4 linked regions of the Drosophila melanogaster genome follow. The protein of the gene in region 3 interacts with the protein of the main gene of each other region in a pairwise test. Each region holds a gene or a part of one and is shown on either strand. Other genes may lie near its edges. The genes, in order: CG9646, mRRF1, Syn and Cpr49Ah.

Evidence for each region.
Region 1: the proteins of Syn (region 3) and CG9646 interact in a two-hybrid assay, tested with the Drosophila melanogaster proteins (one large-scale study listed by BioGRID).
Region 2: the proteins of Syn (region 3) and mRRF1 interact in a two-hybrid assay, tested with the Drosophila melanogaster proteins (one large-scale study listed by BioGRID).
Region 4: the proteins of Syn (region 3) and Cpr49Ah interact in a two-hybrid assay, tested with the Drosophila melanogaster proteins (one large-scale study listed by BioGRID).

The regions. Positions count from the first base shown.
Region 1 is NT_033778.4:17,046,682-17,055,058, reverse strand, and holds CG9646 (uncharacterized protein), read right to left. Parts: upstream 6,185-8,377; 5' UTR 5,750-6,184; coding exon 5,632-5,749; intron 5,051-5,631; coding exon 4,884-5,050; intron 4,827-4,883; coding exon 4,404-4,826; intron 4,343-4,403; coding exon 3,895-4,342; intron 3,238-3,894; coding exon 1,915-3,237; intron 1,791-1,914; coding exon 1,641-1,790; intron 1,575-1,640; coding exon 1,534-1,574; 3' UTR 1,204-1,533; downstream 1-1,203. Other genes in the region: tef (teflon), read left to right, coding at 1-398; fat-spondin, read right to left, coding at 774-960; SmydA-6 (SET and MYND domain containing, arthropod-specific, member 6), read right to left, coding at 6,552-6,725, 6,780-7,908, 7,966-8,094, 8,150-8,214.
Region 2 is NT_037436.4:9,361,805-9,366,013, reverse strand, and holds mRRF1 (mitochondrial ribosome recycling factor 1), read right to left. Parts: upstream 1,665-4,209; 5' UTR 1,598-1,664; coding exon 833-1,597; 3' UTR 774-832; downstream 1-773. Other genes in the region: Klp67A (Kinesin-like protein at 67A), read left to right, coding at 1-677, 1,822-2,641, 2,788-2,919, 2,980-3,086; CG34456 (uncharacterized protein), read right to left, coding at 3,345-3,848.
Region 3 is NT_033777.3:10,189,141-10,194,680, reverse strand, and holds the start of Syn (synapsin), read right to left. Parts: upstream 3,993-5,540; 5' UTR 3,787-3,992; intron 822-3,786; 5' UTR 668-821; intron 1-667. UniProt on the Drosophila melanogaster protein: Plays a significant role in nervous system function, which is subtle at the cellular level but manifests itself in complex behavior.
Region 4 is NT_033778.4:12,411,900-12,416,441, reverse strand, and holds Cpr49Ah (cuticular protein 49Ah), read right to left. Parts: upstream 2,481-4,542; 5' UTR 2,381-2,480; coding exon 2,369-2,380; intron 2,150-2,368; coding exon 1,589-2,149; 3' UTR 1,272-1,588; downstream 1-1,271.

The sequences.
Region 1 (8,377 bases), on a different chromosome or scaffold from region 3:
ATTATAGAAAAATTTGTCCGCCAGCGAAACCGGACTTTATTTCTCAACAGATATTTGCTTTAACCAGAGAAGTTAACAAGACAATGTTATGCAACCTGGCGAACAGCGATATAAAAGGCATTATTAATCAGATTTCAGTTTGGCATTACAATATATATACCCAATATATTGACTTGGATACCATTTCGGAAAATGCCCGATATACTTTAAAGCTATTCTCGTTTTTACCTGTTAGTTTTGCTTACTTTTGCAAATGTTGCGACGATATTTTCATCTTAAAGAAAGAGTACTTAAAGCATTTGATTTCTCACCAAGTTCGGTTTCAGTGCACAAAATGCATTAAAGTATTCAAGTACAAGGGATACTATGAAAAGCATTTGCGAAACGCTCATTCTTAAGCCACAATGTGTCATTTAGTCATGGTTACATATATTTTTTCTAACCCTACATAAAGTTATGTATTTATTAAATAAAAAGGAATTCCGAAAAGCTAATGCTAACCAATTTGTCAATAAATGTTATATTTTGATTTTAATAAATTTTTCTAATAAATCAAAACGTTTTATAAACTAAATGCTTTAAAGTTTCTTTATCACTACAAAAAGATTAGGTACAAATTAACACAGAAAGCGTTATCAAAATAGCAACTGGACTGACAAGATGGACAACATCACCATCTGCTCTGGATTCTCTTATCATTTCGATGGCTTTTGTTTTTAGTTCTCGAATGACCCCGATGATTACAAAACCAACTAGCTACCTTCCCGACTTACAATTATACGTCTTGCCGGGCACATAGCCGTTGGGTCCATCGGCCACAATTAATTTGTATCCATTGTCGCCGCGTGTGCGTCGACCGTGGTTCAAGTGGGTGGGCGCCCGGGGACATGCGGTGACCATACTAATTGTCAGCCAGATCACAACGATGAGGCGGATGAGCAGCGGCAGCGATTGCCCCATCTCCAGTGCTTTATTTCCCGCGTTATCACTTGACTCGATTACAAAGCTCAACTGCAGCAACGACCGTTTCCAGCGAGGCTCAAAAACAGACTAATCAAGCCGGAGAGGCGATAGAGCTATCTTCAAGTCGAGCGACCGACCCGATGCCGGATGCTTCGGGAACTCTGATTACAAGCATTACTCGCGAGATGGTCTTGACTTTCATCCATTGGCTCCTCCAATAATTCCTCTTTACTCTCGTGTCTTTTCTATTCCGTATATATTTCATGGTATAAATTTTGCCGTACAATTTACAAATAATATTACAATTATATATTTCCATATCATCGGTAACAGAGCTCACTATCGTAGTTTGTAGTTCATAAATTTGTAGGTTTGCTTTCCGCTCCCGAAATAGTGTGAATCGTGAGGATTCGCCTTAGGAAACTCAACATTGGTCGAGAACATAGCATATATACTGATAAATCAAACTGGGACTGATCACACAGACTGGTCACACATTCGATCGATAAATAGGGAATACATGTGAGAACTATAAAGCATATAAATCACAATTGCCAGATAAAGTTAATACTAAAAGGTCAGAATAGGCGTTTCCCGGTGATCCAAGAGATCTGAAAAAAAAAGTATTTTACATCAGAATGGCGAATATTTTTGAGGTAGGTCTTCAAGTAGCTCACCTTTTGCAATGCTCCACCAGGGCAGTGTCACATATGTGAGGAATGCATTTAGCGGCGTTGACTGCTGTCTTCTATTCTCCTTCCAGAAATGAAAAGATTGCGTAAAGCCTCGACTGGTCCATAGGGGATTATAAGCGCCATCGTCGAGCTCTAAAAGTAGATAAGAGGCTCACGGAATTAGTTTATGTTAGTCGGAATTATTGAAATGTAAGTACACGAAAATCGAAGTACAAAAAAATTAAATATAGTTGAAGTAAAAAGCCTAGGAAATAACCTTTTATTGCCTTTTTGGGCACATCGCACCAATAGTAGATGTTAGTGCCATCGGGTGTTCTGCGCTTGGGAACCAAATGCAGCATCTTGCTGACATGAGCTTGCTTGGCTGTTCTCGGAAGAGTAGCACTATTGGCCTCCCCGTTGCCATTGGCCACATCCAGCATGGGTGTAAGTTCCGTGGGCGATATCACGTTTGTAATATCGCTCTGCTCGTTCTCATTGTTCTCGTCCGGCTGCAGCAGATGACTCTCCGGCTCCACAGGCAAGCTGACACACTTTTCGAATCGTTTTGGCGGAGTCTTGGGCGAATCCACGACCGGCAGCTCTTCTCGTCCACGCACACTAATCATTAGCTTGCTGTCGCTCTCACTTAGGATAACCATCTTGGCGGCTCCAACTGGTTCCGATTCACTACCATTCAGGGAGGTAGCATCATCGGCGATCTCGTACTCCTCCGATTTGGAAATGTCAGGCTTTGGATTGTTATTATTAACAGCTTTTTTCTTAGCTGCATCCATTGCCTTGAACTTGTCCTTTTCCTTCTCCTTGTTTCCATCTTTGTCCTTGTCCTTCTCTTTGCCTGCTTTTAGCCGCTTGGGCGACATCTTGGCCAGAAAGTTGGTAGCTGAGCCGTTGACCTTCTGATTTGAAGACTTCTTGTCGTTCTCCTTGTTTTTGTCCTTTTCTTTCTCCTTGTCCTTCTCGAGATCCTTGGCTTTGGCCGTGCGCAGTCTTGGAGGTATGATCCTCTTGGTGGCCACTGGGAGGCTGGTCCTGCGATCAGCAGCACTCAGGGAGGCACTCCTCGTAATGCTGCCACCCTGTTGCTTGCGTTTGATCTCTGATGGCAGTCGGAAACTGCTTCTTTTGCCCACGAGCAGCTCACTCTCCACACTCAGGATGCTGCTTTTTGGCTTGAGACGGGTGGGCCGCTTGTCGGGCATCTTGGCCAGACAGGCGGGCGACTCGTTGGACGGATCCTCGCAACTGGGGCAGTACACCTCGGACATTTCCGGGGTGTCCGTGTTCTTGGCAGACGCCCAGCGCTTCTTACACTTTTTGCCACCAAAGCAATTGCAGCCCGTAGTTGAGCTATGTCCAGTAACGCTGACGTCCCCGGAAACTGTGACCTCCACGGCGGCACTCAATGGAGGCGGAGTAACAGCAGGAACAGCGACTTCCGCTGGAGCAGAGGAAGTACTCTCTCTAGGAGATTCTTGGGTCAACTTTTCTTGGTCACCAGTCGCGAGTTTATGTGTCTCGCAGTTCGGATTTGGGTGCAGTTTTGCCGCTGAGGCCGAGAAAGCAGGACGTTGCTGATCTACAAGTAGATAGATCGGTTTTTGCGTTTTAAAAGCATATACATCGACACACATGTACAACCGATGATCGGCCCAAGCAACTTAATCGATAATTGGCAACAGAAAGCAGTGGAAATAATAAACCAGAATAGGGAAACACAAATATAAACTAGGCGATCGATCGATAATAGGTGGATGAATGGATGTCTAATGAATATACAGTCAAGCCACCAAACAATTTCTAAAGGGAATTGGGAATAGGGACGGGACTACGGAATGTGGTGAACGATTCCCGTTTAAAGCGAAATCCAGTGTCAAACAATAAGCCAAACGAAATATAATTTTGGTTGTCCTTAGTGTATTATTTGTCCTGCTTTCTCGGCAATGTCTGGTGTTCTCTTTATATATATACTCTGGAGTCGTTCTTAGGGGCACACTTAAAGTATATATATAAATTCGATAGTTGGAAGTTTTAAAAGGAAAATCAATGGAACGACAACACATTACGAGAAGTAAATCAGGAATATGAACGGAAAATGAAAGGAGCAAGCGGAAAAGCAGCTTTAATTTAACTACGGCAACAACTGTAAGCAGTAATACAATTCTAAATATCATGCAACTTAAGGATGCTCAAATGAATAGGAAACAAGGATAAAGAAGTACATGTTCAGACTGACCGTCGCGCAAATCTCCAGCCTCGATTTCGGACACCTCGCTAGCCAGCGAGTCCAGTCCCTCGTTCTCCGATCGCGCCTTGGCTCCCACACTGGGGCTGGTGCCACTGCCCACCATATCCTGGTTATTCGAGTTCTTCGTGCGCCACCCGTACCGTGAGAAGTTATTGAGATTGGCACTAGGATCGCTAAGGCGTCTCTGATGTCGATAGGTGCAATAGTCGTCGTTCTCTTCCTCCCACTCGTCCCACATGTCAGTGGCGCAGAATCCCGGCTCGCTGGTGGGTGTCTCCACACCGGATCCTTTTGGCTTGGTCACCGCCATCTCGGCGTGTCCCTTTCCCTGAGGTCCCTTCATCCGGACAAACTCGCAGCGCGTTTGGACACCAGCTCCACTGCTGAACAGGCCAAAGGACATGCGCTGCGCCACCTTGGAACTCAGACTAGATTGCTAAGTTGCAAAATGTAAAAGTTAGGATAGAAAAACATAGAGCAATTCAGATTGGTCATACCCTGGCATCGTACACCTTTTTTAGGGCATCATAGCGTATGGACCCCAAAAAGATCACTCCTTGCACTGCTCCATCTTTGTCGTTAGCCACCAGTTCGACGCACACCATCTCCCCGTCGCGCACCAAAATGTCGCTGAACACCTCGTCGAAATTATCGACCATGAAGCAGATGTGCGGATACGTAATCTCCTCGCCTTCGCCCTTGGTGTCCATCTTCCGACGACTGGGGCTTGCGTAGACCCTCTGCGAATGTCTTCTCAGCACTTGCAACTCCTTTGGCGACGTCCTTGTACAAATGGCCAGTGTCAACGTGTAATCGAACTGATGAATGACCATGTTGAGATAAACCGTCTCCTCCCAGTCCACATCAGGATCACCGATGGGCAGTTTGCGCGAGTCCTTGCGGAATACCTCCACCTCAGTCTGTTTAAAGAATAGAATATGTTCAATGGGTGTTTTATGGTAATTCCTGATGCTCACCTCAAATTTTGGCATGTGACGAGAGGAGCTCTTCACGTGCTTTTTGCGCACAAAGAAGAGCAAGTCGTCTGAGTCGATGCTGTGCACGGGCTCTGTCTGGAAGAGGAAATGACGCACAAACAGGTCCGTCCAGTAGGTGGTGCCCTGTAGGACAACGAAACCGCCATCTAAGAGACATATAATAAGAATATTAACTTTCTGAGCTTCAGCGTCAATGTTATGAAATCAAATGCCTAAGTGTATTACATAATTTGTTATATAGATTTATTATGACCAAAAGCGTTGCTAAGCTTCTATAAATGGAACGTATTAAATCCCAAACTTCAATTGCATCATAAAAATAATTAACTATCTATGTATATTCAAATTTGAGAATTTCGTTTTGGCAATCATATTTCTAGGAACCTTAGCTTCGGCTCTATCTTTTCGATTTTGAGGACTTGTGGGAAACTGGGGGATGCTGATGTTGACCGACAGGTGAACAGCTGTTTGCGGTTTTCCCATACTGCCATTTGGGCCGATAAAAGTAAAAGCCGCTTATGTAAAGGAAAACAAAGAGGTTGGCCAAAAGTGGGGCGGAAAAGGCACGAACACACAAACACAAGCGCAGCAGGGCACACACACAAGCATACACATCCTTAGGGGTTGCCCTTTGTGATAAATCGATAAAGTGCAAATGTAGACAAATTTTCCCTGCTATTTGAACCGAATCGGGGAGCTGCGGAGTCCGGATTAGAGCTGTACCCACCATCCTTGAGCAGCTGACGCATCTCCTTGGTGCGCTGGAAGTTAATGTCCTCCAGGAGCTGCTGCAGAGGCGTCTGCGAACCCTTCAAGAGGGCGGCGGCGGCACTGGCGAGGGCCATCCTAAAGGGGGATTTTCACGGCTCCGCGCTTCCGGATGACGAATGTCGATGTAGAATGGTGAGTATTACTATTTCACAACGTCCAACACATTACGGCCTTTGCGGGGGTGGCGGCAACGTTGCGGGGACGCGGCTAGTGATGTATATATTGCAGCATTTGTTGTTGCTCCACGGTTGGAAATTTTTTGCAGTCGCAGAATCAAGCGGTGCAGAGGAGCACCTTATCTCCACGGCACATGCAAATCGCAACTGAGCAGCAAACCCTCGTTTTTTTCCCACTTGGGGGTTGTTTTATCCCTTATTCGCGGTGCATACCCCATCTGTATTATCAGTTATCAGCTGTTCCCATAATTTCACTGCCTCTTTGTGTTATTTATTCGGAAATGTCGAAAATTCCACGGTTAACTCTTTTGTCTAGCTGAGCTTTTATTGTTTAATGCAAAAAAAAGATAAATAACAATAAATAAACTCAGTAGTGTTGCAAAAGCGGTAAATTAAACGATAACAGCAAACGTGCGGCTCTTCGATTAAAGCTCTATATCAGTTATCGAATTTAAATTGATTTAAAGTTTCATTAAAAAGTAATGCAAACTAGTATTATTTCCTATTGTTCGTGAACATTCCTAACAATTTCGGTTTGATTTGATTTGAAATTTAGCTCAGTTAATATTGTATCCTCTTTTTTTTTCAAATTTTTAATCAACAAGATGAATGCTATACACATGAATAAGTCATTAGTTAAACATGGGAAACAATGCTTATTGAATTCAAATACCAGTTTTAATCTGCAAACTCGCAGATCTTATTGATTTACCACATCGTCATCGGATTCCCGAAGATTTTTTATATCATCCTGCAGCTCCTTCAGCTCTCGAAGCATTGATCGCGTCAGCTGGCCCTCTGGAGTGGCCAGTGGCTCAAATAGAAGCATTCGCAGAGACTCCCGCAGCATGACCTCAACTCGTTCCAATTCCGCCTAGAAAAAATTTCATTAATTTGACATTAAGGAATAAATCCAGGACTTTCCCACCAGGAGGTCATTGGCACTGTGCTCCATTTCAGTATACATTTTTCTGGCCAATTCGGCCTGTGTGTTAGCCAGTTCATAGAGGGCGATAGCCTTCAATCTGGAGATTCCAGGAGTTACGACCTTAAGTACCAACAATATCTCCTGGCACAAACGAATCTTCCGCTCGTATACTTTCTTATTTGGTCGGGTTCCCATATTCTGAAGAATCTGTCGCAATATAGAGGCGATATTTTGCTTTAGATCGAGCATTAGGAAATGATTCCGATGAAGTAGGCGACTTAGCTTGGCCAAGAGTAGCTCCTGCCGGTATATATCATCCCTTGCGTGAAATATTTCCTCCTTAGCACGTTCCAGCATATTCGAGACAAACTCCTGTTTCAGTGTGTGCTCCGGATTAAGAAGGCACTGCCATATTCCGGTATCCGGCTGACGCACTATGTAGCCATCTACGCACGAGCATTGACTGCAAATGAAACTGCTCATGTGTGTTCCCAGCTCGGTGGGATCCTGGCATCGCGGACAGGAGCAGTCGAAGCACTTGCCCACCTTGAGGATTTTGCGACGCTCCTCGGTGCCCAGGAGCACATTGGTGTAGCAATTGTAAAGGATCTCTCCGGCGGCTATAAACCGATTTGCGTAGACCTTTATACGTTGCTCGTCATCGATTGAGATGACCAGGTTGGGCGTGCAGCTGTGGGCGAAGAGTCCTGCCCGGCGATACAGTCCTCTCATGGCGCCACCCACCTCCGGGGCCCTTATCTCGTAGGCATTTATGTCCAGGATGCCTAGGAGACCCTGTACTAGGTCCTCATCCGCCGCACCCCGTAGTTGTGCTAGCACTCCACCATAATCCAGAGGAGTAAATGCGTGCTCCTGGTAGTTTTTCCAGACTTCAGTCCCTCTTCTAGTCATAAGTTGGGAATCCATTTGGGACATTTCCTCGTACAAGGGCAGGGTTTCCTCGTGCTCTCTTAACAGCAGGCATTTCAAAACTGGCTGGATTTCGGTGTGCTCCTTTTTCTGAAGCAGCTCCACCTGGTCGTCCGAAAAATTCATTTCAGCAAGCCTTTTGCAATCTCGTTCGTCATGATCCGAGCAATCCTCACACAAAGCTAACAGACGGCACTTTCTAAGGGTTTACATAAGATTCGTAAATGGATAACACATTTGTATGGAGTCCACCTACCGACAAAAACTCTCGGTTAGATTAAAGCACTTGGAGCAGCGTCTTTCGCCCATTAGGGGCAAAACCACGATAGGATTCTCCAGCAGCAGGGTCTCGCCAGCCCGAACATTACAGAGGGCAACCGCAAATCTTCAGGGAAACCCACAGGGGTTAAATATTTTAAATGGGTTATAGATGCACCCACCTGCCCAGCGTGTCATTCTGCTTTATCTCGCACTTCCTTGCAAAATCGTCGGTTACTGCGGCCATTCTCTGTTTCCCGTTCCCTTTGGCTACCTTTGGCATACTGACAACACAACCAGCGCCATGCTGGCAACTTATTTTTAATTGAACGACAATTCTTTATTTATTTCTTGGTCAATGATTCCCCCCACCCAGCCATACGTTGAACCATGTCGCCGGTACACAATGT
Region 2 (4,209 bases), on a different chromosome or scaffold from region 3:
AGCGCAAGACCGACACCAAAAGAACGGTCAAACTATCCATGATCGATCTGGCGGGCAGTGAGAGGGCGGCCAGTACGAAAGGCATTGGAGTGCGATTCAAGGAAGGCGCCAGCATCAACAAAAGTCTCTTAGCTTTGGGAAATTGCATAAACAAGCTAGCCGACGGCTTAAAGCACATCCCGTACCGCGACTCGAACCTGACACGCATCCTGAAGGACTCGTTGGGCGGAAATTGTCGCACATTGATGGTGGCCAATGTCTCGATGAGCTCACTGACCTATGAAGATACCTACAACACCCTTAAGTACGCTAGCCGAGCTAAGAAGATACGCACGACTCTGAAACAGAATGTCCTCAAGTCCAAGATGCCAACCGAGTTCTATGTGAAGAAGATCGACGAGGTGGTAGCCGAGAACGAGCGACTCAAAGAGCGCAACAAGGCGCTGGAGGCCAAGGCCACTCAGTTGGAGCGCGCCGGCAATAGTGGATTCGATCCGCTGGAGCTTAAGACGTGGTACAGCAAGATAGACGCTGTATATGCGGCCGCCCGGCAGCTTCAGGAGCACGTCCTTGGTATGCGTAGCAAGATCAAGAACATCAACTACCGGCAGACACTGAAAAAAGAACTGGAGGAGTTCAGGAAGCTGATGTGTGTCGACCAGCGAGTGTGCCAGGAGGTGAGTTCGATTTTTCGATTTCAAATGGTACTAAGAGTCCAAATTTGTGCTCATCTAGTGTTTTTCTATTTCTGGAAGTTCATCTCAAGAGTTTTTAAGTTTAAACATTTACATTTATTAAGGCTTTTGGAGCGGAATCAGTCTTGGTCTTAGGCCTAATCGCCCAGCAGCTCCTTCTGCTTGCTGGCCAGCAACTTGTCCGCCTCCGAGATGAAGCGATCCGCGATGGCAGTGACCTGAGCCTGTGCGGCGAAGGCATCATCCTTGCCAAGTTCCGGTTGTTTTTTCAGCTTGCGAATGTGTTCGTTCTGAACGCCTCGTATGGCATCGCGATATTTGACGAACAGAGCTTTGGCATTCTTGGATAGATTTTCCCTGTGCTCCTTGGTGACCTTTGGGATGGGTATGAACAGTGTAGTGCCATCCTGTTGGGGATTAAGGTTCATGCCACTCTTTTCGATGGCTTTGAGGACATCGGGAATCGTTTGCGGGAAGCCAATCATGTTGACTATGATGGTCTTGGGATTCTTGCGAGAGATTTGGGCCAGTTCCTGCAGCTCGTGCTCCTGGCCATCGACTTTGATGCGCAGTGTGTCGATGGCACCGCTGGTGGATCGCAGCGACAGGTGCTTCACAAAATCCTCCTTCATCTGCATCACGGACTTCTGCATCTGGCTATTCAGGCCATCGAAATTGAGGATCTCGCGCAGCTGCTGCTCATTGATTTCCACCTTGCCCGGCTTTCCCTTGCCGCCTTTTTCCTTCTTTTTGTCCTTGCCCTTTGCATAATCGCGCGCCACTTGTAGATATTTCGTGTTTTCTAGATTATTTTGCAGGATTAGAGGTAATTTCGGTGAGGAGCTCGACACTCGCGTCTGGCGCACTCCTAGGGCAGCTAAATGCAGTGCACTTCGCAGCATTTTATTTAAATTTAATCTATTTTGTTTGGATTAAATGCGGAACTGATTTTCAATTGGGCAGCATCAGCTGTTTCTTTCCGATTCGTCGTAACAAACCTCAAACGTAAGGCATGTTAACGTAACGTAACGCTTACGTTGGCGGGTTTATTTGAAAAAAAAAAACTCATTACTTAATTTTAAAATGTATTATTACCATAAATACCCTTTTCTTATAAACTTTTCAGGACTTCCGTCGCTTTGCGAACTACATGAGCACACTGACCAGCCAGATGGAGAAGTACAAGGAGGAGTTGCCCAGCTGGCTGAGTAAAATGGAGATTGCCTACCAGGATCTAGAAAGTCTAAAGCGAGAGGTTAACAAATCAAAGGCCTACCAGATACTCATTGTATACGTTAAGTACAAGGATCTCGAGCTGCAGCTGACCAAGCAGAATATCTTTAACAATCACGTGAACGCAATTAACCAGGAGCTGGTTGAGAACTTGGATCTGATGCGAAAGTCCTTCCGAACAGCCTGCGAAGTGCTCAACCAGACGTACGATCGCCTCGAGGATGGTCAAAAGCTGACGCCGGAAATTGAGGCGGTCTTCGAAAGGTTGCTGCGAAAGATGCGGTTCGCCGATTCCGAGGCCAATACCAAAATGGCCGAGATGAATCCGTTGGCGGTGCCTGTGGCTCTGCGCAGCAGCGCCCAGGAGGAAGAAGAGCCCACATGCAGCCTCACGGCCAGCGCCAAAAAGCGACAAAGGCAAGCGGCTCAGAGCGACGACGATCTGCATTTGAGCATGGAGGACTTTGATAGCCAGGACACCGAATCAGATTCCGAGGAGCTGCACAGGACGTTTAAGAGGCCACGAAATCTAAACGAAACGCAGGTCCTGGGTCCCTGCAGCAGTAGTTCTAGCAGCAGTACTTCTAGCAGCAGTAGCGCAAGGAAGGCACTCACGGCGACGGTGACCAAGCCGCGAACCGTCCAACAGCGACTGGTCAGCGATCTGATATCCGATCAGAATGTGCGCGGTGGCAATGAAAAGATCAAGAAGGGTAAGGTTTTGCTTTCTAAATGTTATGCATTATGTATAAACTATTTCATCGCAGCGAAATTTTTTTGTTAATATGTGGACATGGCTCATAATCATTTATGCATGACGGAAATACTTTATGCTCATTACTTTGGTGTTTAATTGCAGCTCTACTCAAGTCGAATCACTTTACGGCGCAAGGACTTCAGAGAACGTTGGCGGCTGCTTCTCTGGCCAAGGAAAACGTAAAATACAACGCCAACTATGTGCGCAAGAGTCCACGAGCGCTAATGGCCAAAGGTGAGTTCGGCAAACTGTGCCTATTCAATCAGAGATTTTAATGCAATTCTTTACTGACAGCCCTTGCAGGCACCTCGACGCTTGCGAGAAAACCGCTGGGATCGGCCAGTAAGGAGCCGCCTTTGGTCAAATTCAATCGTGCTGCTTCGTTCCGCCTGAAGAAGTAGAAAACATGAACTCATTCAGTTAGTTTCAACTTGTGTTTGCCTTGAAGTAACAACTATTCCGCCAGGACCGAGACAGATTCATGTTCAAATTAACCATAGCTATAACCATATATATAGATAGAACACTAACTCCTCCAAACCCTAAGCTCGTTCGTTTTTTCGTTCTTTTGACCCATTACTTAACCTTGAATTTATTTATGTACTTTTTTTATATTTGTTTTGATAAATTGAAAGAAAGCTTTGCGTTACGCGCTCTAACTAAAAATATACAGCCGTTTCCTTGCCCTCATCCAAATTGTGTCTGTCGTCTCGGTGGTAGAAGCTTTGATCGCACGGCCAGAATTGGGAGTTGGTTTCCGGATGCGAGGCTAACCGACTGGCGCTGCCACTGCGATAAGGAGCCAAGCCCAGGAGTCCCAGCAGCATGTACAGCAGGGCTCCCAAATTCACACCCAAAAGAAGCAATCCCGGTGCAAGCAGAGGATTCAGGATGGACAGTATGGCAGCTGGTGGAGATGGAGCAGCCCAGGCAGCAGTCGGCACTCCATCGTATCCGTACTGCACTCGTCGCCAGGGTTTCTTATCGCCTGCAGCAGGTCTCTTTTGCTGCTCGATGCCTACGTCAGCGGGTAAATCCAGATCCTGTCGCTTGCTCTCGGCCACCGGAGTGTAGCGGGGCACAAATCCCTGCTCCACCGGGATCTTCTCGTCGCCACTGCTTGCGCCGGCTAGACAGGCAATAAAGATAAGCGACAGCCACATATCTACGGGTTTGTTTTTTCCCGACTGGCCGGCTGCAATCTTATATAGCCACTTGTTGCTCGCCCCAAGGGCAAAAAGCGAATCGTGTGGATCTTGCTAGATGTCAACAAGTTGTCACTCTTCAGTTTTACAATGGTCATATATTTCTATTTGTATAGTTAATAGTTATAATAATGCATATAAAAAATTCAACTTAAAGGTATCAAAGCTTGTCCGAATAATGAGCATATAGGTATATATTTGATCTCTGCCTTTTATCAATTATATATGGTACTTAACTTGTCACTCTGTTAATCATCATATATCGTTATAACAATGCCTACAAATGCTGATCTTAAGGTATCAAAAGGTTATTGTCCGT
Region 3 (5,540 bases):
TGAAAACTAAAGTTCTATTAAAATGGCAATTAAGGTGTCTCAAACTTAATTTTAATTAAAATAAGCACCACGAACAGAACATTAAAACGAACGGCGTGTGGGCATGAGTATAAAGTCGAGCTAACGGCAACAGGTGCACAAGCCAAGGACATTTAAGGACAATGGCCAGTGTGTTGAAATTGCATAGCCATTATATTTCCAAGGATCTTTTGTGTGGCGCATAACGTTAGAAATCAATCGGTGGTGAAGTTTAGCGTTTGGGGGGCTCTTTTGGACCAAGTCAACAATGTCAAACACTTGTGGCCAAAACGGCGCTGTGCGTTTTGTATTTATTATCGTGGCCCGCAGGCCTACAGCCACTTGAAACTTTTCAGCCCCTACATAATAATAATGTTGGTCTCAGGCACACACCAGCACACCGACCCCCTGTGGGTAAATTTGCGTGTTTGTGTGCGAAAAGGTTCAAGTGGGCAGCTTGGTGGAAAAACAAAAAAGATTGAAGCTGAAAAAACTGAAAAGCAATTTGCTGATGAAAGCGTAGCAAGGCTATAGATATGTGAGTGTGTTTTGCCATATGATTCGAGTGATATCTTTGGGTGCCATATAGAAAAGCCAAAGTGAAATGAGTGGGTTCTGAAAGCGCGAACGAATCTTGGAACAGTCTTACCGGTGGCGGGGCGCAGATTCGCCCACACCCAGCAGTTGCGATGGCGCTAATATTGACAGTGGTCGACAATTAAGTCGAGCAGTTGGCCTCCGTTTTCGCAGGGGTTCGCTTCGTTACTACGACGAATCTCAGGCTATCCGGTCGCTATTTTAATCTGTAAGTAGGGAATTAATCTTTTAAATTAAATGGAAGGACAATTAATCTTTTAATTTTTTCTGATATTTTTTCTTTTTTTCTATTAATTATTAAATATATTGAGAATTATATTAAGCAGAGGAAGATTCCAACAAAGCTTAAATTCTATAAAGCTTAATGTTTTTAATTAAATGAGTGACACCTAAAGCAACCTAGGTTCAATTATGTGCCCCGCATAATGAACTTCTGGTAAATGACAAAAATTTATAAAAATGTAGTCTTAACTTTCTCTTATTAAATGAAACCCACTGCATCCTTAAGTTTATCACTGCCACACATATTCCCCCGACGAACTTCATCGAAACCCTTTTATTTAGCTGGCTTCGGTCCGGTAACTTATCGCCAAAAGTTGAAGGAAATACGGAAAAATAAAAGAAAAGGGAAAACACAAAGAGCAAATCAACTCGAACAGCTATCAGGCAGAGGATGTCCAGGCAATGGGACGACTGGATGGATGGATGGATGGCGGAATGAATGAACGGACGAGCGACTGGTTAACATCCCCAGGGACGACTGACTGTCGCTTTTGTTGCTCTCTTTTTTTTTTTGCCGTCGACTGCCAAGCAAAACATTGTTTTTGGTTCATTGCACTGGCAGTGGCCTCTATGTAGGACATAGTATACAAACACCACTGAACGCTCACTGAAAAACTCGAAAACACACATCCCTAGGCAATACGAAAAAAATGTGAAAGATTTGCGGCCGAATAACCAAATGTTATGTGTAAATAACACCTAAACAAATCAGCAGGCCAAGCCTTTTGCCTCTGCGGTCCCAGCTAAGTGCGGGAAAATTGCGTTAATGTGTCCCAAAGGTCGCAAGCAAAGTGCTGATTCACTTATCATAACTAAAATATTCAAGGCGGTTGTGCAACTTTTCGTAGCCTACTTTTTAGGGTTAAACAATTGAGGATGTCCTTGCTGGTCCAATGAGATGCACATACATTGTTGAAGTTCATTACAAAGTCAAGACTTTCCAATTTTTCCGATAATAAAATCCCGACTCCTCCTTATCCATTCATGACATAAGCTCTAATAATGAGTTGCTGTGGCTAAGAAGATTACGTATACGCAGGGACGCCGTTCTGTCTGTGACTTACTTTTTGGCCCCCACACACAGCTGAGCTGGGATTCTCTGATTTTCGACCAGAAGCTGTGCGATAGCTGCACTTTCCAACACGGACAGTTTTGACATTTGGCATTTTCTTTAGCGTGTTCCCAAATGTCAAAGTTCAGCACACGTCAGAAACGGACTAACTCGCAGGCTGGGTGACTAAGTAGAGCTTATACAAATCGATTTCATTATTGATGGCCCCGATTGTTTGTTTGCTCTGTTTATTTTGCCTATCAAAACAGTAATAACTGAGCGGTTTTTCGATAAACTTATTTGGCCAACTTTAAGTCTTATTTAATTATCCAGCCAGCAGATTGGTCCTCGTTATTTGCCCAAATTAAGTTGGTCAGGCTCCTTAACTTCCTGGTATTTCTTGCATAATTCATAACCGTCTAGCATCGATATACATGTGTTGCCATTCGGCTGATTGCCAGTACAGCTCGTTTGCGGGATATTTTCATCCGCCGTGTTGTCTGAACGAGCACACATCCCTCTACTTTTGGCTGCCTGGCTGTACGTGTGTGTGAAAACTTTTTGAATTAATAATCACAGTAACGTGTTGAGGGTCTCGGCTGTTGGGTTGCCCTTTCCGGAGGCTTTGGAACTTCTCTGGACTGTTTTTGCCCGCAACTTTTTGGTACCCAGCACAAATCTGTGCTGGAAAAACTTTATGGCCCGGCTTAACCCCCCGATCTTGTGGGTGGCTTGGGCTATTTTCCCGGTAAGAGCGAAGTTGCAACACAATCCATCAACGTCAGTGGCAAATTAAAGTTTCCTTTTATGGCAGCTTAAGCAGTTGCATTTTCTGTCAACCGTTTTATATAAACTGCAATGCGAGAACGAGTTGCGGAATGGGTAAATGCAGGACTCTACATCCGGAGCTGCAGCACCTGCAGCACCTGCAGCCACATTTAACCCATTTTCCAGTGGCTTTTCCCTTACGAGAATGCTTTGTGTTGATATGTGCGTTGGCTTGTCATAAAACAGGGCGTAATGTCTTTTCGATGGTAATTAAAACTGCCAAGCATTTCAGAGTAAATTGTACCGTTGGCTCACGCAAATTGTGGCAGCTATTTCCGTCTGGGGTCAAAGACTTTTATGGCTTTTAGTTAAGCTATAAAGATTTTGCCACTTTAGAACTCAAGAAATAAAATTGGGCTTGTGCGTATAAATTTAAGCTTATTGGATATATCAGAAAGCATTTTCTGATGTTCTTTAACTAAGATAATTCGTTTTAAAAATAGTTTCAGTTACCCAGAACCAATAGCTAAGATCAAAAACAAGTTGAATCTAAAGCGAAATATAAAGAATTATCTCTCCAAGCGACCAGTGGTAAATAGTTTTAGAGACCAAGGTTTTTAATTAATTTTTCCCAAGCAATTAGCAGTATCAAAACCGCCACTCAGGACTATTTGCTCGGCTCCCGCTGGCAGTGGGTTTGTGGGTTATCAGGTTGCCACCGCCCGCTTTGGATCCCCTTTTTTTTCCGACTTCCCCTCCACCTCTCCCCTTTTGAGGACTCTTTAATCGCCAGCTAAGTCGCGCTCTTTGTTTTACTTGTAATTCAATAAAGCGATGGTGCCTCTCTAACCTCGGGGTCTCAGTTTTGTTGTTACGGCGTCTGTCTACGCTTATCACGTACACACACAGACACAAACCCACACACACTCGCACACACACAAAATACACACAGACACTTGCACTCACACTGGGGGCAAACAACGCTGACTAGCTGATACAGAAATTTCTTATATATTTTTTTTTCCACTTTAGCCGTGTTTCGATTTTTGGGTAATTGCGTTTTTCTTTACCGAAAAGAGCTAAAAATTCACTTGAATATTCCTGCTCGAGCTCACAAATTTCCACTCGAATGGCCGATGAACGTTAAGCGATGACTTTTAATGATCAAAAGTGAACAAAAAATGTAGTTTAGATAATTTTGAGATTTGGCTGGGCGAATTTTGTGGAGCTAGAGAATTTTGGCTGAACTGTCAACGACGGTGATGAAATTTTCACTGAGCGAGTGGGCTTTTCATCCAAGAGTTTCCCACCAAAAGAAATGTGCGAATGTAAAGGCATGTAAGTACTCAAAGAGAGGGAGAGATATTGGAGAGAGTTTTGAAAAGAGAGTCAGTGCAATGTGCATTTTATAGTAAAATATATACTTAATAATCCACTACTGGTTGTTTTATAGACAGGCAGGATGAGTAATTAAAATATGATTCAATATTTTCCAGGCTTTTATTAATAACTTCCTAAAATTGCTTGAAATACACCGTTATTTTTATATATTTTACCAACACTGGTTACTCTCTTTTACGAAGACCACCCCATTGGAAGTTAGTGCGCATGCGTGAGTAAGAGAAACCTGCGGGCATATCGATTCATTGAAGTCTGCGTTACGCTACGAGTTCCATCAACCACCACTATATAATACACTATTCAAAACCAACCATGCAAGCCAAATTTTCTTAAAATTTGGTGTAAGCAACAGATCTAGTACTTGCAAATATAATGCAACACTTTTGAATTATTATTCATTTTTTTCAAAAAATAGTTTCTGAAAAAACATAATTATAATGTTTTTAAATTATTAAACAAGAAACATTTTATATGTTTGTAAAAAACATTTTCCTAATGGTTGGATATTATACTTTAAAATAGATATTGACAATAACAAGGAAATGGCTTTGTTAAAAATTTCTCATTTGTTGGAATATTTTTAATAGGAGTTAAACTTTTTTTTAGTGATCTTACACCTAGAGTTACTGACGCACATTGTAATATTTTTATCAGCAAGCATGGCGAATTGATAAAAATAGAGAGCAACTGGGCCAAGACGAAGGGAGCTGTTGCTTGGGCGCCAAAGCCATGGCTTAAATTCTTTTTCCAGCGATATGGTAACGCCTCCGATGGCCAGAATGAGTAGGCAAAGTAATAATGGCCAAAACAAACGAAGATGTGTCCAAAAAGAGCAGCACAAAGAGAGCGAGAGAAAGAGAGAGTTAAAACAAGAAGAAACAAAATAAAGCAGCCAAGCCGAAACAGCAAAGCTTGGCTTAGAGCAATTTCCGTCTCTGCGATTCAGTTGCCAACAATCTCTCGAACTGTTAACGTGTCAAGCGGAAAGTTCCCGACTAAATCTATTTAACAATTGTAGTGCTTTAACGCGTTTCAAAAGTAATAATCATTAGTGCGGAGTGCAGGTAGCTGAGTAATAGCAAATAAAAACAACTTTTTCGAATAAATAAACACATTTTACAAACGACCCCAACAACAATAAGTAAACAATGAGCTGTTGCATAAAACTTGTTTTCACGTGTTGCTCACACGTCGCTCTGTTGAAAAGAGCAGCAAAATGTATAAACTTTAAAGTGAACAAAAACGAAAAACCAAATGAAGTTTAATGATGGAAAACTACTGCTGATTATAGCCAACTTCATGCAAAATAGGTTTAGTTAGTTGAGTGTCTAGCTAACATTTAAATTATGGTATTAAATTGTCTGGAATATGCGCGAATTTGCGAGTTAGTTGAGTTATTCTCGTTTCTCTTCAAGATGCGCTC
Region 4 (4,542 bases), on a different chromosome or scaffold from region 3:
ACGTCTATCTTCTTTTTTTGCAGATGCTGTGCTACTTTTCAATTTTACAGTTCGTTTTTATAGGTTTATTGATTCATTCTCGTTTTCAGCAGCCACAATAACAATCTATTGTTTAATTTTTGGCTTCTGCTATTTTTTCTTTGACGTTGCTTCGATGTCAATGTAATATTCACATCTACAGTTCTTCACATCTTCACTTTTCTGTCGATCAACCACTTCACTTCCCCATTTCTTTTCACTCCCCACAAACAAATATTTGTATTATCGCTACCAGTTTTCGGTGTAACGCTCTTGCGAATTCGATCTTCAGCTTTCTTATAGATATTGTATATTGTAGAGGAAGTATCTCTTTTGCTGGCGATTTGCGATCTGCACGCGACGGCTTGTAAACGGCAACTGAGTTGGCCAAATCAATTCCAGCACCGCACAGGCCCACAAGAAAGATTCTTTCTAATCACGGGCCATAGAAATTTTCCTTTGTTCGGCTTCGTTATTATATGGTTTTTTTTTCGTCTTAATTATGCGCAAGAGCGTTGAAACTTAATGGCGAATAAACATTCTTCGGGGCCCCGCTTTCGGGGTCTGTTTCTACGGCGGTGGTGAAAATGCAGCGGATTTGATTTATATTCAGCTAGAAATAACCGCAGAGTATAGTCAGTGTGTTTACGTTATATGCAAATATGTTAGGTGGCCAAATCGTTTGCCGTTTTGTGGCCCAAAAGGTTATTCGGTTGTTTGTTCTTTCAACCTGATGACAGTGGTTTTTGGTTTCAATATTTGCGTAGCCAAGGGCTACTCCATTCGAAATGCCAAACGGTAAAGGTAGCCTACGTTAAATACAATAATTGGCAGAACGAAGAGGTTTCTCGGCGCGAAATCGGGGCTACGCCAGTAACCCATTCGTGGACCACTTCAACTGGCTTCCTCAGCCTTTCCACATGCAACGCCTGCCCGCGAAGACAAGTCGAATGGCACTGGAAAATCTGTCGTAATTATGCAACTGGCAACCAGTCGAGAGACTCCTCTCGAAAGAAAATTTCCATGGCGGCGATGTAGAAATATGGAAAATTGGAAAACCCAACCTGCATGGAATGGGATCAACAAACTAACGTAATTCGATCTGCGAAGTAAATAATAAAGCAACGAAAGATGCACGGTAAATGGGGAAATACTTTGAGAAAATAATGAGGACCCATAAACGCTTTGTCACGTTTGTCTGAACATCGTGGATATGGTCAGCTGTAAAACGGAAAAAAATAATGCCAGAAAATATGGTAAGTCCATCATCAAGTCGGTTCGGCATAATGGAAACGTTAGTTTACTTTTATTGTTTCAAAGCAGCGAAACTTTCACACTCGTTAATAAAATATTATTAATTTGATTGAGCGCCCCTGTCTGTTGGTTTTATGGTACTTAGTGGGAAATTCAAAAGTTATTAAACGATTATCATTCAGTGTGGTACAGCGATTTGGATTTGGAAGAGCTTGCAGAATGAAATCACAGTCTTGTTGTTGTTGATATAGAATGCGAAGAAGTTACGTTTCCAGGATCATCGGTTCGGTGGGGGAATGGAATGGGCGGAGCTCGTCTATTGGTTCTCCAGCAGACCGATGTACTGGCCATTCTGGTTGGCCACGCGTCGCTCCTCCAGTTTCCTCGCAAAGTCTGGATCTGTCTTGGCCCTCTGCTCCAGACGCTCCTGCTGCAGTTTAATGCCAGCGTAGATCTGATCCAAACCCTTCTGTATCTCCTCGGGAATAGCCGGCGGAGTAGGAATGTGATCACCTGTGGCCCTGAATCCATTCTCGTCGGCCGTGTACTGCACATTGACCAGAGTTCCCTCGGGGGATTGGTAGGAGTACTGGCCATGCTGAACCAACACCCCATTTGGATTGGTGTCGAAGTCCTTGAGGAAACCGGTTTCCTCATGAATGATGCTATTGCCCGTCTCGTATTCTGTCTTGTAGCTTCCATCGTCACTCTGCTCCTTGTTGTACTTGATTATGGGTATCCAGGTGCTGGTCTCTCTGTGATCTTCATGACGATGATGATCTGGTTTGTCATCGCGTGGTATGTTGTTCACATTTTGGTGCTGATGTTGATGGTGGTGTTGTCCTTGGCAGGAAATGGCCAACAGCACAAGAAGTATCTGAAAGGATAAATATTAGCTTAAGCTTACTAACACATGCAAGTCATTACGATTTCCAAACAAAGTAATCACAAAAAAGAATATTTAATCCTATCCTTTAGATGTAATGTAAACCAATAAATTTTATATTTGAGAAGATCGAACTGTTGCAATGTTTGCCAATCATTCATCGAGAATCACTTGACCGATTTTATGTGATTGGTTATGTGAACCACTTACGAGCACTTTCATTTCGCAAGGAGTCTCTGCCGCTTATCCACTGTATTCCACTGATTTGGCCCGCTTTGTCGCCCGTTTGGCTGGCACTGATCGCACTGGCTAGTGAAAGCAGCTCCGTTAGACACTGTGCCAAGCGCGGCCCTATTTTGGTCTTATATAGGCGATTCGCTCTGCTCCGACCCGATCCGATCCTCCTGTTGCACTCGTGTCCATACCCACACAGGTGAGCCTCCATGGGAGAGCGTGCATTTGCTATTTCTGCTGGTGATGGAGTTTCTAATGGAGATGAAGTTGCAGATGGATATGCAGTTGCAGTTGCCGATGAAGATGGGAGGGGATGGGAGTGGAAGTGGAATTTGCCATGGAAGCTCTTATTTTTTGTTAGCTGTCTGATCCGACCGATCGGTAATTGTTGTTCGTAGGCTCGACGACGCTTAAATGCTAAAATCGTAAAAAAAAAAACAATTCACTGTCGCTCTCGTTTGAGGCTTTTTCAGAGGCTGAGGCAGTATGATTTTAAAAGGAATCCAGAACTATGACAAACTATAAGGATAAAGCTAACATTCCATAATAATTTTGGATTAATAATTTGTGTTCGCCTTTTGTAAAATTTGATACCGTCATTATTATATAATGAAAAAAAAACGAAAAAATTGCAAATGCGCACACAGTAAAAAACAAATTATTTCTTTTCGCAAAGCAAAATCAGCTCTAAAAATGTTTAATTTTAATAGCTTCTGACCTTTTCCCTTTTTCTCATGCCCTAATCTTGGGATACTTTATTGAAATAACAAGTTCGTTTCCTAAGTCTTTTGTTTTAACGCAAGAAAATTCTTATGAAATGTTTTTTTTAAACATTTTATATTAAAAATATCTTATCTATTAAACTTTCTTATATATTACTTATTTATGAAGAGTCGTTTTGCCTTGTTAAGCCCCTTTTATACCGGCACCCATCTTAGCCCGGCTTATTGTCGCTGTTCGTATTTGGCCCGCTCGTAGGCCCGGCTCAAATGTCTGCGAAATGTCCGTCCCCCGCCAGCGCGTCCGGTCGTTCATCTTCGCAATGCCGTTATTTAGAAACATGCCAGAACGAGTTTTTTTTGCTTTGCTTTCGTTGTTGACTTGGCCAAAAGCGACAGTCGGCTCTCTCTCTCTCTCTCTCTTGCGACTGAATCGCATTTGAAGTGCATCCAAGATGCTGCTCCCTCGCGGCTTCGGTTTCGGATTCATTTTGAGATTCGCACTCGGACTTAGATTTGGATTCGCATTCTTGTAATTGCGGCAGTTTGGCGGACCCAATACCAACACCAGCGAAGCGCGAATTGTTGTAACAGCCAAAGTGCCTGGCAGATGAGGCAAGACGATAATTGAGTTCAAAGCGGGCCCGTGTCTTGGCAAATGTTAATTAGTTGCCAAACAATTGGGTTAATCTACAGTGCATTTTCGGCCAAAGATAACAAATAAACAAATATTAGGCGTTGTAAGAAATAAGAGAAAAATTCAATCATAGGAGACGATCAACTTGCAAGGGACAATATACAGCGAGTGCAACAACCGACGAAGTGCCGGCAATAAAGCCCGAAATGCTGCCAAACTCCAACGCCTATTGCGACAAACGACTCCTCCTCCCTCTGGGCCATCGTATTTTGGCCAACTCTTCGTCTTCCGCACCCACGACACCAAGTCAAACGCCCGCCAAGCCCCCGGTTTGCAATGTTGCTGCCGTGTGTGGTGATGTTGCTGCTGTTGCTGATGATGCATTGCAGGTTGTGCAACTCGTAGAGTTGCAGTTCCACGCACGGGCGAAAATGAAAATAAAAAACGAAAGCTGGGCAAGGTTAGCTTTCGAGTGCACCACCACAGATGCGCAAATGCTCACCATGAAACCGAACCCCCATCCCACTACCCACAACTGTGGCCCACTCACACATTGACCTGTTGCTGCCGGCATGGGGAAATTGCAGCATCTGCAAATGTCAAACGATTTCACCCTTACATTCTTAGCATTTGTCGTTCTTATGAACAACATTTGACATTTGGGTTCCGTTCCATTCCGTTCGGATTTGGCTTTATGGCAGAGAGCCAACTTGGCTAACAGAACCACGTTGCTGGCCATAAATATTCAGGCTGCTGCCGTGTCGGTTGTGAAATGAAATGCCTTGTCGATGCGG